Canis lupus familiaris: one gene and its partners. The protein of the gene in region 3 binds, or shares a complex with, the protein of the main gene of each other region. Links are inferred from orthologs where the notes say so. Each region holds a gene or a part of one and is shown on either strand. Other genes may lie near its edges.

Evidence for each region.
Region 1: the proteins of CREBBP (region 3) and IRF3 are in contact, whole or in part, in a crystal structure (PDB 5JEM), measured with the Homo sapiens proteins. The link is inferred for Canis lupus familiaris from reciprocal best matches to the Homo sapiens genes CREBBP and IRF3. Residues at the interface, in NP_004371.2 of Homo sapiens: Leu2070, Thr2073, Leu2074, Lys2075, Ser2076, Ser2079, Gln2081, Gln2082, Gln2084, Gln2085, Val2086, Asn2088, Ile2089, Leu2090, Asn2093, Gln2095, Leu2096, Ala2099, Phe2100, Gln2103; in NP_001562.1 of Homo sapiens: Pro198, Gly199, Glu200, Glu201, Trp202, Glu203, Ser221, Leu322, Ile326, Leu329, Ile330, Thr333, Thr370, Cys371, Leu372, Ala374, Leu375, Glu377, Met378, Ala379, Val381, Gly382, Gly383, Ala384.
Region 2: the proteins of CREBBP (region 3) and PPARA are in contact, whole or in part, in a crystal structure (PDB 9IWL), measured with the Homo sapiens proteins. The link is inferred for Canis lupus familiaris from reciprocal best matches to the Homo sapiens genes CREBBP and PPARA. Residues at the interface, in NP_004371.2 of Homo sapiens: Asp62, Ala63, Ala64, Lys66, His67, Lys68, Gln69, Leu70, Ser71, Leu73, Leu74, Arg75; in NP_001001928.1 of Homo sapiens: Val284, Thr285, Thr288, Glu289, Lys292, Phe297, Leu302, Asn303, Gln305, Val306, Thr307, Leu309, Lys310, His457, Pro458, Leu459, Glu462, Ile463.

The regions. Positions count from the first base shown.
Region 1 is NC_049222.1:107,548,735-107,552,945, reverse strand, and holds the start of IRF3 (interferon regulatory factor 3), read right to left. Parts: upstream 2,824-4,211; 5' UTR 2,587-2,823; intron 1,793-2,586; 5' UTR 1,780-1,792; coding exon 1,615-1,779; intron 930-1,614; coding exon 758-929; intron 673-757; coding exon 602-672; intron 1-601. Other genes in the region: BCL2L12 (bcl-2-like protein 12), read left to right, coding at 2,889-3,027, 3,664-3,778, 3,989-4,131.
Region 2 is NC_049231.1:20,888,618-20,892,250, forward strand, and holds the end of PPARA (peroxisome proliferator-activated receptor alpha), read right to left. Parts: coding exon 3,289-3,633; intron 1,151-3,288; coding exon 903-1,150; 3' UTR 539-902; downstream 1-538. UniProt on the Homo sapiens protein: Ligand-activated transcription factor. Key regulator of lipid metabolism. Activated by the endogenous ligand 1-palmitoyl-2-oleoyl-sn-glycerol-3-phosphocholine (16:0/18:1-GPC). Activated by oleylethanolamide, a naturally occurring lipid that regulates satiety.
Region 3 is NC_049227.1:37,802,758-37,806,402, forward strand, and holds part of CREBBP (CREB-binding protein), read left to right. Parts: intron 1-1,757; coding exon 1,758-1,937; intron 1,938-2,929; coding exon 2,930-3,119; intron 3,120-3,645. UniProt on the Homo sapiens protein: Acetylates histones, giving a specific tag for transcriptional activation. Mediates acetylation of histone H3 at 'Lys-18' and 'Lys-27' (H3K18ac and H3K27ac, respectively).

The DNA of each region.
Region 1 (4,211 bases), on a different chromosome or scaffold from region 3:
ATAAATAAAATCTTTTAAAAAGGGGGCGGGGGCTTCCAGTTGGGGCTGGCAGGGAGGTGGGGGATAGGAGGTAGGTAGACAAGCATGGGCACAGATGACAAAATATATGCTCTGGTATATGATGGATGCTACTATTGGCCCAAGGGGAACAGCTAGTTCCAGCCCAAGGACCTGGCCCTGGGCAAGCAAGACCTGGGCAGAGAAGGCTGGACACTATTTCAGAGGGGACCTGCCCTGGCATGGACGTCAGCAAGACCAAGGATAGGGTGGTTCTGGGTTCCCAGGAGGCTGAGGGTACTCTACATAGCAAGAGAAACTGTGAAATTCTAGAAAGGTGTATTAGGGCCCTAAATGCCTTGGTGAAAGCTCTGCATTTTTTTCCTGAGACACTGGAAGCATCCATGGAAGGGCTCGCTATGAGCAGGAGAGGGACAGGGTCATCTCTAGATGAGTGGGTGGACAGCCCACAGGGGATAGGATGGAGGCTCAGGAGGAAGATTTGATGTGATGGTCCAGGGGGAGGAGAGGAAGCCTGAACAAGGCTGTGGGGACACAGAAGATGGGTCATCCTGAGGGCAGGAAGGATGGGGTGCATTCTTGCCTGGGTATCCGAGGTACTGTATCTGCCATTGGTGTCTGGAAAGGTGTCCAACTCAGGCAAGTTCCCAGCTCCTGCCAGGGAAGGTGGTGAGTGGAGCAGAGTGTTGGGGATGCTCAAAATCCCATCCCTCCACATGGAGCCCCACTTCTGGCACACCTGAGATCACAAACTCATAGACCTTGTGTGGGTCGTGGGGGTCTTTGCTCCGATCTTCAGCTACACGCAACTCCTCCTTCCGGTTCAGGGCAGATCGGAAATTCCTCTTCCAGGTGGGCAGATCAGGTTTATCCTTTCCAGGAGTGTAGGCACCGCTGACCTCGGCCCACGCCTGGGGATCCAGTTGGTACCAGGATGGTGAGGATGACTAAGACCCCGGCCCAAGGGCGCTCTCCCCTGGCACGTTCTAACTTGACAAGGATCCATCCCCAAACTCTTGGACTCTGCATCGTAAGCACCCTCCCACCCCCACCCCCCCCCACCCCCCCGCTTCACCTATTCAAAAACTTTGCTTTCTAAGCCAACCTTCCAGGTCCTACTGGGCGTCTAACTCTGCCAGCAACCTGCCCCAGGACAGGTTGTAATGGCCCCGCCCCCTCGTACTCGAACTCGGGTTACCACCACTGGTGTATCCGAATTTGGTGGGAAATCACCTCAGCTTTGGGGCCAGGTCTCGCCTCGAAGGTTCCAAAACCAGCCCTCAGAATTCTACGACCCAAAGCCCCGCCCTCTGCGAGCCCTCAATCCCCAGTTTGCATTTCTCTCGAGTTCTAACCCCGCTTTTCCGGTTCTTTTTCCGGAACCTGGCCGTTCCAGCCGTGCCCGCCTTGCGACATCCGTCCGCTGATCCTCCTAACCCTGCCCAGTCCTGTCCTAACTCCACTCACCTCCACCTGCCACCGTCAGCGCCGGCCGACCCTACGCAGGCTAACCCCTCCCTCTCGGCTCCGCCCCCTGGGAGTCCACCCCTCGGGTAGGTTAGCTCAGGGCTCCCCGGCGGCACGAAGCTCTCGCACCTGGAAGATGCCGAAGTCCTCCTGCTGGGCATCCTGCCGCAAGCCATGCTTCCAAGGGATGCGAAAGCGCGTGCGGCGCTCGTCCAGCCAGGCCACCCCCTCCAGCTGCCCTAGGTCCAGCTGTGACACCAGCCAGGGCAGGATCCGCGGTTTTGGGGTTCCCATGGTCCGGCCTGCGCTTAGAGGGCAGTTCGTGGGCGCGGATGGCCTCTTAGCTACCCGCCCCCACCCCCGAGGGTTCCGCTCCCAGACCTTCCTCTCATGGGGCGGCGGTGCAGCGTCCCTCACTTATATTTTCCTGGGGTATAAAACAAGACAACTCCTCTTTTCACCTCCAGACAGTCCCCCAAGTCAACGAGGACTTCCCGCCCAATCCATTTGAGACGGCCCGTCTTTCCCCACCTCCTCCTGAGCAGATCCTCTACCTCCCCAACTCAGCCAGGGTAGATTCTTCCCTCTTCCGTTGTAAACCCTCTCCTCCCCTCCCCTCCCCCACATCACCTAAGGCAGTCACCTCCGCGTCCAAGGTAGAGACTCCCCTGGTTATTTCAGGGCAGACGTTATTACCTTGTAGATCTCTACCTCCCGCACTTATCTGTGTTGCGGACTCCTACAGAAGAGCCCCTCACCCATTTCCACGGTGGACCCTCCATCCACCATCCTTCCCCCCAAACAGCTTCCTTCCTCTAGGGCACCCCCCCCCCACACATACTCTATAGAGTGGACTGCCTCCCATTTTCAGAGTCTGCTCTTCTCTGCCTTAGATCCCCCCATGCAGACGCCTCCCCCCCGCCCCCGCTACTACTTTTTATTTCACAGCCGACCTCCGGCAGCGGCCATAGCTTCACTTTTACTCGAACTCTGCTTCACCTTCCCTAGAGTACACCTTGCTCCTCTAGACTCAGGGCAGACCCAGCACGTCTCGCGTTTCTCGCCCCGGGCGCCACCAATTCCCCAGATCTTCCCAGTTACCTACGTAGAGGGTCGGGGCGCTCAGGGTGCTAGAACCCGCCCCTGCCTTTGGGGTCCGATAACTCTCGAACTTGCAGCTGCACACCCTACTTCCCGTCAGCTGAGCTTCAGAGAAAGAGGGTTTTCTTTTCTATCGATTTCATAAAACAAAAACAACTTTATCTGCGATTGGTTGACAAGACTCCAGAGCCAAAGAGGCGGCACCAAGAACCCGGACGCCCCCGGTTCTCCCCTCCCCCCCCGCTATGCCCTTTATAGGTCTTCCGGCCAAAGGCATGCTGGGAACGCCACATGCAAATCAGATGGGTATCCAGCGCTCCGCCCCTCCCACTACGGGGCTGACACCAACCCGGCCCAGTGCGCAGGCGCGGGAAAGTTGCACTAATAAAAGTTTGCTCAAGTTCGGTGAAGGAGAGGGGGTCGGCGGCTTCCCGGCCCCAGGTAAGCTGGGCTTTTGTGCAGGCTGGGGCGAGAAGGGAAAAGGACGGGTCTAGGAGCGGGCACCTCAGTCCCGCTTCCTGGACATCTATGCACCCCGGGTCCCCAAGATTCCAGCGTGGGTCAGATAATGGAACTACACTTCCCAAGGAGGCTGCGCGGCGCACAAGTGCGGACCGAGGGGAAGGTTTGCCATGAAGCCTGCTGGGATTCGTAGTTCCTGATTCTCTAAGAGCATGAGCGGCTTGGCGTTATGCCTCCAGAAACCAGAAGTCGTTGCCCCAAGTTCCGTTCTTTCTCAGACTCAACAATTCAGATCCTCCAGCCCCCTTCTCCAAAAAATCTTCAGAGTCCAGCCCCCAGTCTTTTGACCCCAGGAACCCGGGTCCCTAAGCCTCTTCCTCTCCAAGGATCAAGGAGTCTTCGGCCTCATCGCTCTTCTCCCTCTGAGAACTCAAGAGTCTGGGTCCCCAGACCCTAACTCCCCTAAAGGATTTAGGAGTTGAGACTCTCACCCCCTTCTTCCTTCGGGAATTCGTGGGTCCTGGCGCCCTCCTTATTCAGGGACTAGGCATTTGGGCACCAATCCTCCACTTCAGTTCAACCCTGGAGCCCATCCCCCAGCTCCCTTTTTCACAGGTGCCCCCATGGCAGGCTCAGAAGAGCTGGGGCTCCGGGAGGACACGCTGAGAGTCCTAGCTGCCTTCTTTAGGCGAGGTGAGGCTGCTGGGTTCCCCAGCCCTACCCCACCCAGGTAAGAGGAGCTGCCTTCTTTCCGCTGGGGCCTGCATTTGGGGTGGGGCCCTCTCTAACTTTTGTACCTGGTCTCTGTCTGCGTTCCCCTCTTTTATATCTGGCCCTTTATCCTTGTCCCTGGGGTTGCAGTGACAGGCCCTCAGTGGGAGGAAGAAGGGACTGCTTGCAAGGGGCCTCTGCAGTCATTCTCTGAGGTCCCCTTCCCCAGGAGTCCTGCCCAGGAGGAGCCAACAGATTTCCTGAGCCGTCTTCGAAGATGTCTTCCCTGTCCCCTGGGGCGAGGAGCAGACCCCCCTGTGTCCCCTCGGCCTTGCTCCTTGCCCCTCCGCCCATGCTATGTTTCAGAGCCTGGTAAGAGATTTTCCTAGATCACCTGGACACCGGCAGGGCCAAAACTTTGAACCTTTTTTTTTTTTTTTTTTTTTTTTTAA
Region 2 (3,633 bases), on a different chromosome or scaffold from region 3:
TGGTTCAGATTTGATAGGAGACAGAGGTCAGAGGGTCGGAGAGCTGACACAGTCTCCGTTTGTCTTGCTCCTGCTGACCACGGGACCACAGACACCAGCTGGAGAAAACAAGCAGAGCGTCAAGTCCGGGGGGGGGGGGGGGGGGAGTCTTGAGACTCAGTTTTCTGGGATCTTCTAGACAAACCTAGAAACAGGCCCTCCTGCCTATTAAGTCACAACCCCCAACACAGTGAAAACCGACCGACTGTTGCATTTGGATAGCTTATCAAATAATCCTTGGAAATTTCAAATCCTCTGATTAAGAAACAGCATGTTAAAAAAAAAAAAAAAAGAAACAGCATGTTGTCTTTCTTCAAATTCAGGAAACAGAATTAAAGTCTCCCCAATAAATATTTTGCTGCTTTTAAAAAATAACCTAACCTTTGGATTCATCTAGATTTACAGGATTATAAAAGTTAAAAAGTGCTGATTAGTTTCCAAAACGATACAAAGGAGCGCAAGAGTCAACAGGTGGCAGAAAGAGAAGACAGACCACGTATTTCAAGGTCACCAGTTAATTCAAGGCTACACGGCTAATGTGATATAAAGAAATCTGCATGGATTAACATCAAGTGAGTTAAAATCAGACTGCTGGGCATCATTCCCCTTAATTTTCCAAGAACTGCCTATCAGCTACCTGTCACCGGCGTTTCGACACTTGGCACGCTCTTACAAGTACTGATGTGAAAAAGAAAGAAATGTGGTCTAGGTTTCCGGTTACCTAGGGCTCATCCGTCCCATTCTCTAAGGTGAAAATGGTGGAATTTGTGCAAAGCAGGCATTGCTCCCAGTTTTCATTTGTAGTGCTGTCGACTTTAAAAGTCCTCGAAGAGCTGCTTGTCGTGCGGTTCGCTCTCAAGCCGTCAGTACATGTCCCTGTAGATTTCCTGCAGCAGGGGGTGCAGGGCTGCGTCCGACTCCGTCTTTTTGATGACCTGCACCAGCTGTGCGTGCTCGGTGACCAGCTGCCGGAGGTCTGCCATTTTTTGAAGGAGTTTTGGGAAGAGAAAGATGTTGTCCGGGTGGTTGGTCTGCAGGTGAAGTTTGAGCACATGCACAATGCCCTCCTGCATTTTTTCAATGTGTCCCACGTTTAGAAGGCCGGGGCGATCTATTCTCAAAAGAAATAAGAGACGGTTGTGATAAACCTCCCACGGACACCTCCTAACTGTTTATGGGTTCGGGAGACCAAACATTCTTACTCTTACACTGCCTTCCAATAACGTTGACTCGGCGGGAAGACAGACCTCGATTCTTCCAAAGTCACTGGGCCTAATGCGCAGACAGGACAAATACTCGATCCTAAGTATTTTTGTACTCCCTTAAGTCGACCAGCTATCCTACACCATGGCCCTTTCATTTTGGATTTCCTTGATGACCACCAATTAGGGGAAAAAACCCAAAACATAGGAGTAATCAGACATTCTGATGACGATTAAAACAACCAGTTTTGTATAATATGAAATGAAATACATCTTGAATCAAAACTAGATATTCAGTTTTAAGTTCTCCACCACTGTTTTAAGGATTGCGTTAGACTGGGTTTTGTGGTAAAAAGCACTCGTTAGGGGAACAGATGCTAGGAATCTTCCAATATGAATCTGCTGCATAGACAGTGGAGTGAGATGTGAGTGGTAGATGCTACCTCGATGGGGTGCTGACGAGCCCCAGGAATGCCTGAGATCCGGTGCAGGCAGTTCAACGTGTACACCACACGCCCTCCCTGGGGCAGCTCAACCGCAGGCACCAGACCTCCTGGGACAGAGGAATGCACACGTCCTGGGCACACGGGTCTTTGGTCTAGAGTATTCCCTGTCCCCACTGCCATCCAATAGGCAGTGCTCTCTTTAAGGCCCCACTCCTTACTAGGGTTGTTAAAAGTGCTGCTAAGGATGTGGACTTTTTCATTGCTTTTTCTGGGGTTGTAAAATGAATATAATTACTAACTTTTTAAAAGGAGAGATTAAAAAAACAAAGTGAATTCCCCTCGTAAGGTTTAAGGTATACCACACCAGACACTTTTCTGTACATAGGATTGATATATGATTTTTTTTTTTGAGAGAGAGAGAAATGGAGAACATGTGCGGTGAGACTCCCCACTCAGTGCAGGGCCCAATGTGGGGCTGGATCTCACGACCTTGAGATCATGACCTGAGCTGAAATCAAGAGTCACATGCTTAACTGACTGAGCTGACCGGGCGCCCCGGGATTGATAAGCGATTATAACTTCTTTTAGAAAACTCTGCTCGTACTACCTATAAATGGTTGTGCGCTTGCTTTTTACTCACAGCACTACATCTCGAGCATACAAAGGACAATGTAGATTATGTACAACTGTTTTTGCATTTTACATTTTTTGCCAGAGCAGAAGGACTCCCTCCACCTGACTGGGGGCAGCTGAACAGTAACAGGAACAGGCCTTGTGGGGCTTCCAGCGTCTGGGCGTCTGTGGCCAGCCTCAGCCCTGCAAGTCAGCAAACCGTGCAGGACAGTACAGCTTCTGGCAGTTTGCGGCAGTGGTCGGTGGTCACCCCCCTTGGCCTCCCTGGGGGCTGGGTGAGGTCAGCTGAGTTTACGGTATAGGGATGACCTTCTTATACCAGGACAGGGTTATTTAAAGGAACATGACACTGAGCCAAAATTCTGGGAGCTGCAGAGCCAGCTTCCTTGCAGAGAGGCCCAGATTTTCCTTCACTGGGATCCATTTCCTTTGGCAAAGCAAACTGCAAACACTGCCAGTGAGCTACTGATATTTTTCATTATGAAATGGAATAAATATACCAATGGTGAAATAAACTGCACTAACATCTGTACGGCCCTTTATAGAATACTGCCTATAATACGGATATAACACTATAATAATAGAATTATATAACAGTAACATGATACACTGTACATTGTAACATAATTCTTTCTAATATATATTAAATATATTAGATAAAACTATATTACCATTACACCTAATATATTATGTTTGATATGATTATATTATGATTACAAATAGAATATTACATATACAACATAATTATGAATGGGACATATTCATTTACTGCACAACTATGTGTTTATATATAATAATGTATGCTGTTATGTGATATGATAGGATATAAATCTCACTGAATTCCAATCGGCGGCGATGTAGGGGCATAGACGCCCTCCCATCTGCCAGCGCATGCTCCACTGTGCATGATGCACGTGTGCACCAAGAGGCTGCAGGTGACACGGCGCTGGGTTACGTCAACGACTTACCTCCACAGCAAATGATAGCAGCCACAAAAAGGGAGATGTCGCTGTCATCTAGCTCCAGTGCATTGAACTTCATCGCAAAATCAAACTTTGGTTCCATGATATCACAGAACGGTTTCCTTAGGCTCTTTAGGAACTCACGAGTTATAAAGCCATTTCCATAGGCTACCAGCATCCCGTCTTTATTCATCACAGAAGACAGCATCGCAAATATGGCCTCATACACTCCATATTTCAGTAGAGTGACCTGATCATTCAAGTCCAAGTTCGCGAAGCCAGGGATGGACTTGGCGAACTCCGTGAGCTCCGTGACGGTCTCCACAGATGTGCACTGGCAGCAGTGGAAGA
Region 3 (3,645 bases):
AACGAGTTTTCAGAAATCAGTAGTTATAAAGAAATCAAACATAGGTCTGTACATAGGAGCCGTTGGTTCCCCATTATCCTAGGCAGGTGTCTTCTGAGTTTTAGTAATTTTTCTCTTAACATCATGAGGATATGATAAACAAGGCACATTCCTTCCTAATTGTATGTGCTTTGGCTTTGCCTGTCTTGTTTTCAGACCTGGAGACTTTTCGTCTCATGACAGAATGGCAAACTCAGGTTAGCACTTCCTGTAGCTCACCTCTGCCCAGTCCTTCCCAGACCTGCTGGCATTGCCCCAGTTACCATTGAAGTCTTTTATCCCCCCCTTAAAAGATTTATTTACTTATTTATTTGACAGAGAGCCCACGCACGCAAGCACAAGCAGGGAGAACTGCAGAGGGAGAGGGAGAAGCAGGCTCCCTGCTGAGCGGGGAGCTCGACTGGGGGCTCCATCCCAGGACCCCAGGACCATGACCCAAGCCAAAGTCTGATGCTTAACCGACTGAGCAACCCACGTGCCCCTATCACTGAAATCTTCACATCCATTTTCGTATCAGCCTAACTTAGAAACCATCTTTCCCCCTGAAATACATTAACTTTATTCTTGGAGACTGAGGATATTAAATAAATAAATAAATAAATACCCCCAACATAACATTACTGTTTATATTTCTTCTTAGGAATTGTGCTTATTATTTATCCTTATTTTATATTTCTAATCTCTAACATTCCTTTGTAATTTTATATTCTCTTCTGCTTACTTCAGTTAAAGCTCTTATTAGGTAGGGGCACCTGGGTGGCTCAATTGGTTAAGCTTCGGACTCTTGGTTTTGGCTCAGGTCATGATTTTAGGATCATGGGATTGAGCCCTGCATCAGGCTCTGTGCTGGACATGGAGTCTGCTTATCTCCCTCCCTCCCTCTTTGCTCTTCCCTGACTCACGCATGCTCTCTTGCTTTCTCTCTTTCTCTGTCAAATGGATAAATAAAATCTAAACAAACAAACAACAACTATAAGTGAGACTTTGAAAGTTGAGAATTCTTACGGTGGTTCCTGGCCTTGTTTGCTGACTTCTCCTTCACCACCCCTGTGCCTGCACTTCACAGGCTAAAATACCTGTCCTTGTTCCGTGTCAGCCTTTTATCCCCCTTCCTACTTGGGTACTTCTAGATCTACACTTCAGCCATTTATGGTAAACTTGAATGGCCTTATTGGAAAGAATTAATTTTAAAATAGAAGATTCTGTGACTTAGAAAACTTCCAGGGGATCCCTGAGTGGCTCAACGGTTTAGCACCTGCCTTCCGCCCAGGGCATGATCCTGGAGTCCCGGGATCGAGTCCCACATCAGGCTCGCTGCATGGAGCCTGCTTCTCCCTCTGCCTGTGTCTCTGCCTCTCTATCTCTCTTTCTCTCTGTCTCTCGTAAATAAATAAATAAATAAATAAATAAATAAATAAATAAATAAATAAATAAATAAATAAATAAATAACTTCCAGAAAATAGTTTTATATCAACCTGTAGGAAGCACTGCACCTTCATCTCTGCATTCGTGGTAGGAAGCTCTTTCTGTTTCGACCTCATTGACTTCCTCTGGGACTCCTGTTTTAAATTTTCTCTTCTTCAGTTCTCTCAGATAGGGGTGTCTATTAGATTAGTGTTGAGAAATGTTCATAAGAAACTGGGTATTTGGTGAATAGCAGAATTAAACATCATTTCTGTTTTATTAACAGAGATATGTAATTCTGGTTTTTCCACAGCTTTCCCAGGCAGCCGCCAGCATCGATAACCGGGTCCCCACTCCTTCCTCGGTGGCCAGCGCCGAAACCAACTCCCAACAGACAGGACCCGAGGTACCAATGCTGGAAGTGAAGGCAGAGGTCAAGACCGAGGACACTGAGCCGGATGCCAGTGAAGCCAAGGGGGAGCCTGGGTCCACGGTAGGTGCCCTTCCTGGGGCGTGAACAGGTGTGCACCATACTGAAGCGTCCTGAGGCGAGACACCGCATGTTCTCCATGGACGACACTGCTTTTTGTTTTAATGTCCTGTTTGATGATGGATTCAGAGAGGATAAATGTTAAAAATAGATTAGTTATTTTTAGGTATTAGGTACGGGTTTTACTATATTTTGCCAGAAATGAAGAGGACACTGGTTTATATTCTAAATGATTGAATCATCCAGTGACTGCACTGTCATTCTTCATTCATAGGTAGTTCTGTAGAGTTAGACTGCACAAGGGTGTGCTCATTCATTAATTAACCTGTGGCAAAAGCTAAAGACTGGCAAGCCATGGGCTGGATCCACCCCCATCCACATGTTTTGTTTGGCCCACACAATATTTTTTAAAATGAGGAATTACAAATAAAACTCTGGGTTTCTGGCTTTTCTTTGAAAATGAGAAGCTCTGTCAGCCTTGTGCTTACATTCCTATGTCAGCAGTCTGGGTGGGAGCCTCAGCCCTGGCTTTTAGATGGGGCTTGGGCTCCAATTTGCCGGAGTCTCCACTCCCCACTCTGGCTCACACACCTCCTGCTGCATCATGTACTTCACCTGCCTGGCCCTCTGAGCAGTTTGGTTTTTGAAACTTGCCCCAACTTTCAAGAAGATTCTTGTTCCAAACTAGAAATGCCTACATGTAAAACTACTGGGCAGGTGATGGGGTGTGTATATGCAATGTCTTATAAGCACTCTAGCATATAAAATTTTTAAATTGGGACTATAATTGCAGTGGTGCTGTCCTAAGGCAACTCACCTGACACCAGATGTTCCAATCCTTCCTGGGGGAGAGGAAGGGATGGTAAATGCAACTCTTGAGTAGGGTACAGCTTGATAAGCCCAGATAGATTGTTAAGAGACTTCCAGTGAGGCTGAGTTAGAATAAAGGTCTTTGCTATTCATACATTATTACCTGTAATTCTGTATTTCTCAAGATGATGGAAGAGGATCTACAAGGATCTTCTCAAGTTAAAGAAGAGACAGACACAACAGAACAGAAATCAGAACCGATGGAAGTGGACGAGAAGAAGCCGGAAGTCAAAGTAGAAGCTAAAGAGGAAGAAGAGAACAGTGCTAATGGGGCCACCTCTCAGTCAACATCTCCTTCACAGCCACGCAAAAAAAGTAGGTTGTGTTTCCTGGACTTGTTTTATCGTGCTGCTTTTCCATCGTGTTGGGATTGCACACCACAGGTTAAAAGCTAAAGCAGAAAAATAATTGTCTCCCCCCCTTATATCTTTTCTGCCTGCCATTCCCCAAGTTTTACTTCTTCAGAAATGATGACAGAGAGCTAGACTGCAGCCTGAGGGCCCATGAGGTTTATGGTGGGAATGAGAAATGAGCCGCAGCTCTGAGGGGCAGCCCAGGAGCACATCTCTCCTCTGAGCCATCATTCCCCATGGGGCCAAAGTAGAAGTTGCATCTGAGTCCTTGTGCCCGCTGAGGAGCTTGGGCTTTCTTTACTCAGTAGGGCCTGGACGACCACGGATAGATTTGAGCAGGAGGTTGACTGCCACACTAGGGAAATTATCACCGTGGCTACACGTGGGTGCACTGTTACAGATGGGAAGGTGTGCTCAGAGTAAATGGGCAGTGGAACAGGACCCAGTGCCTGGTGCAGTGGGAGGGGTGCAGATAACTGAAGATGCTT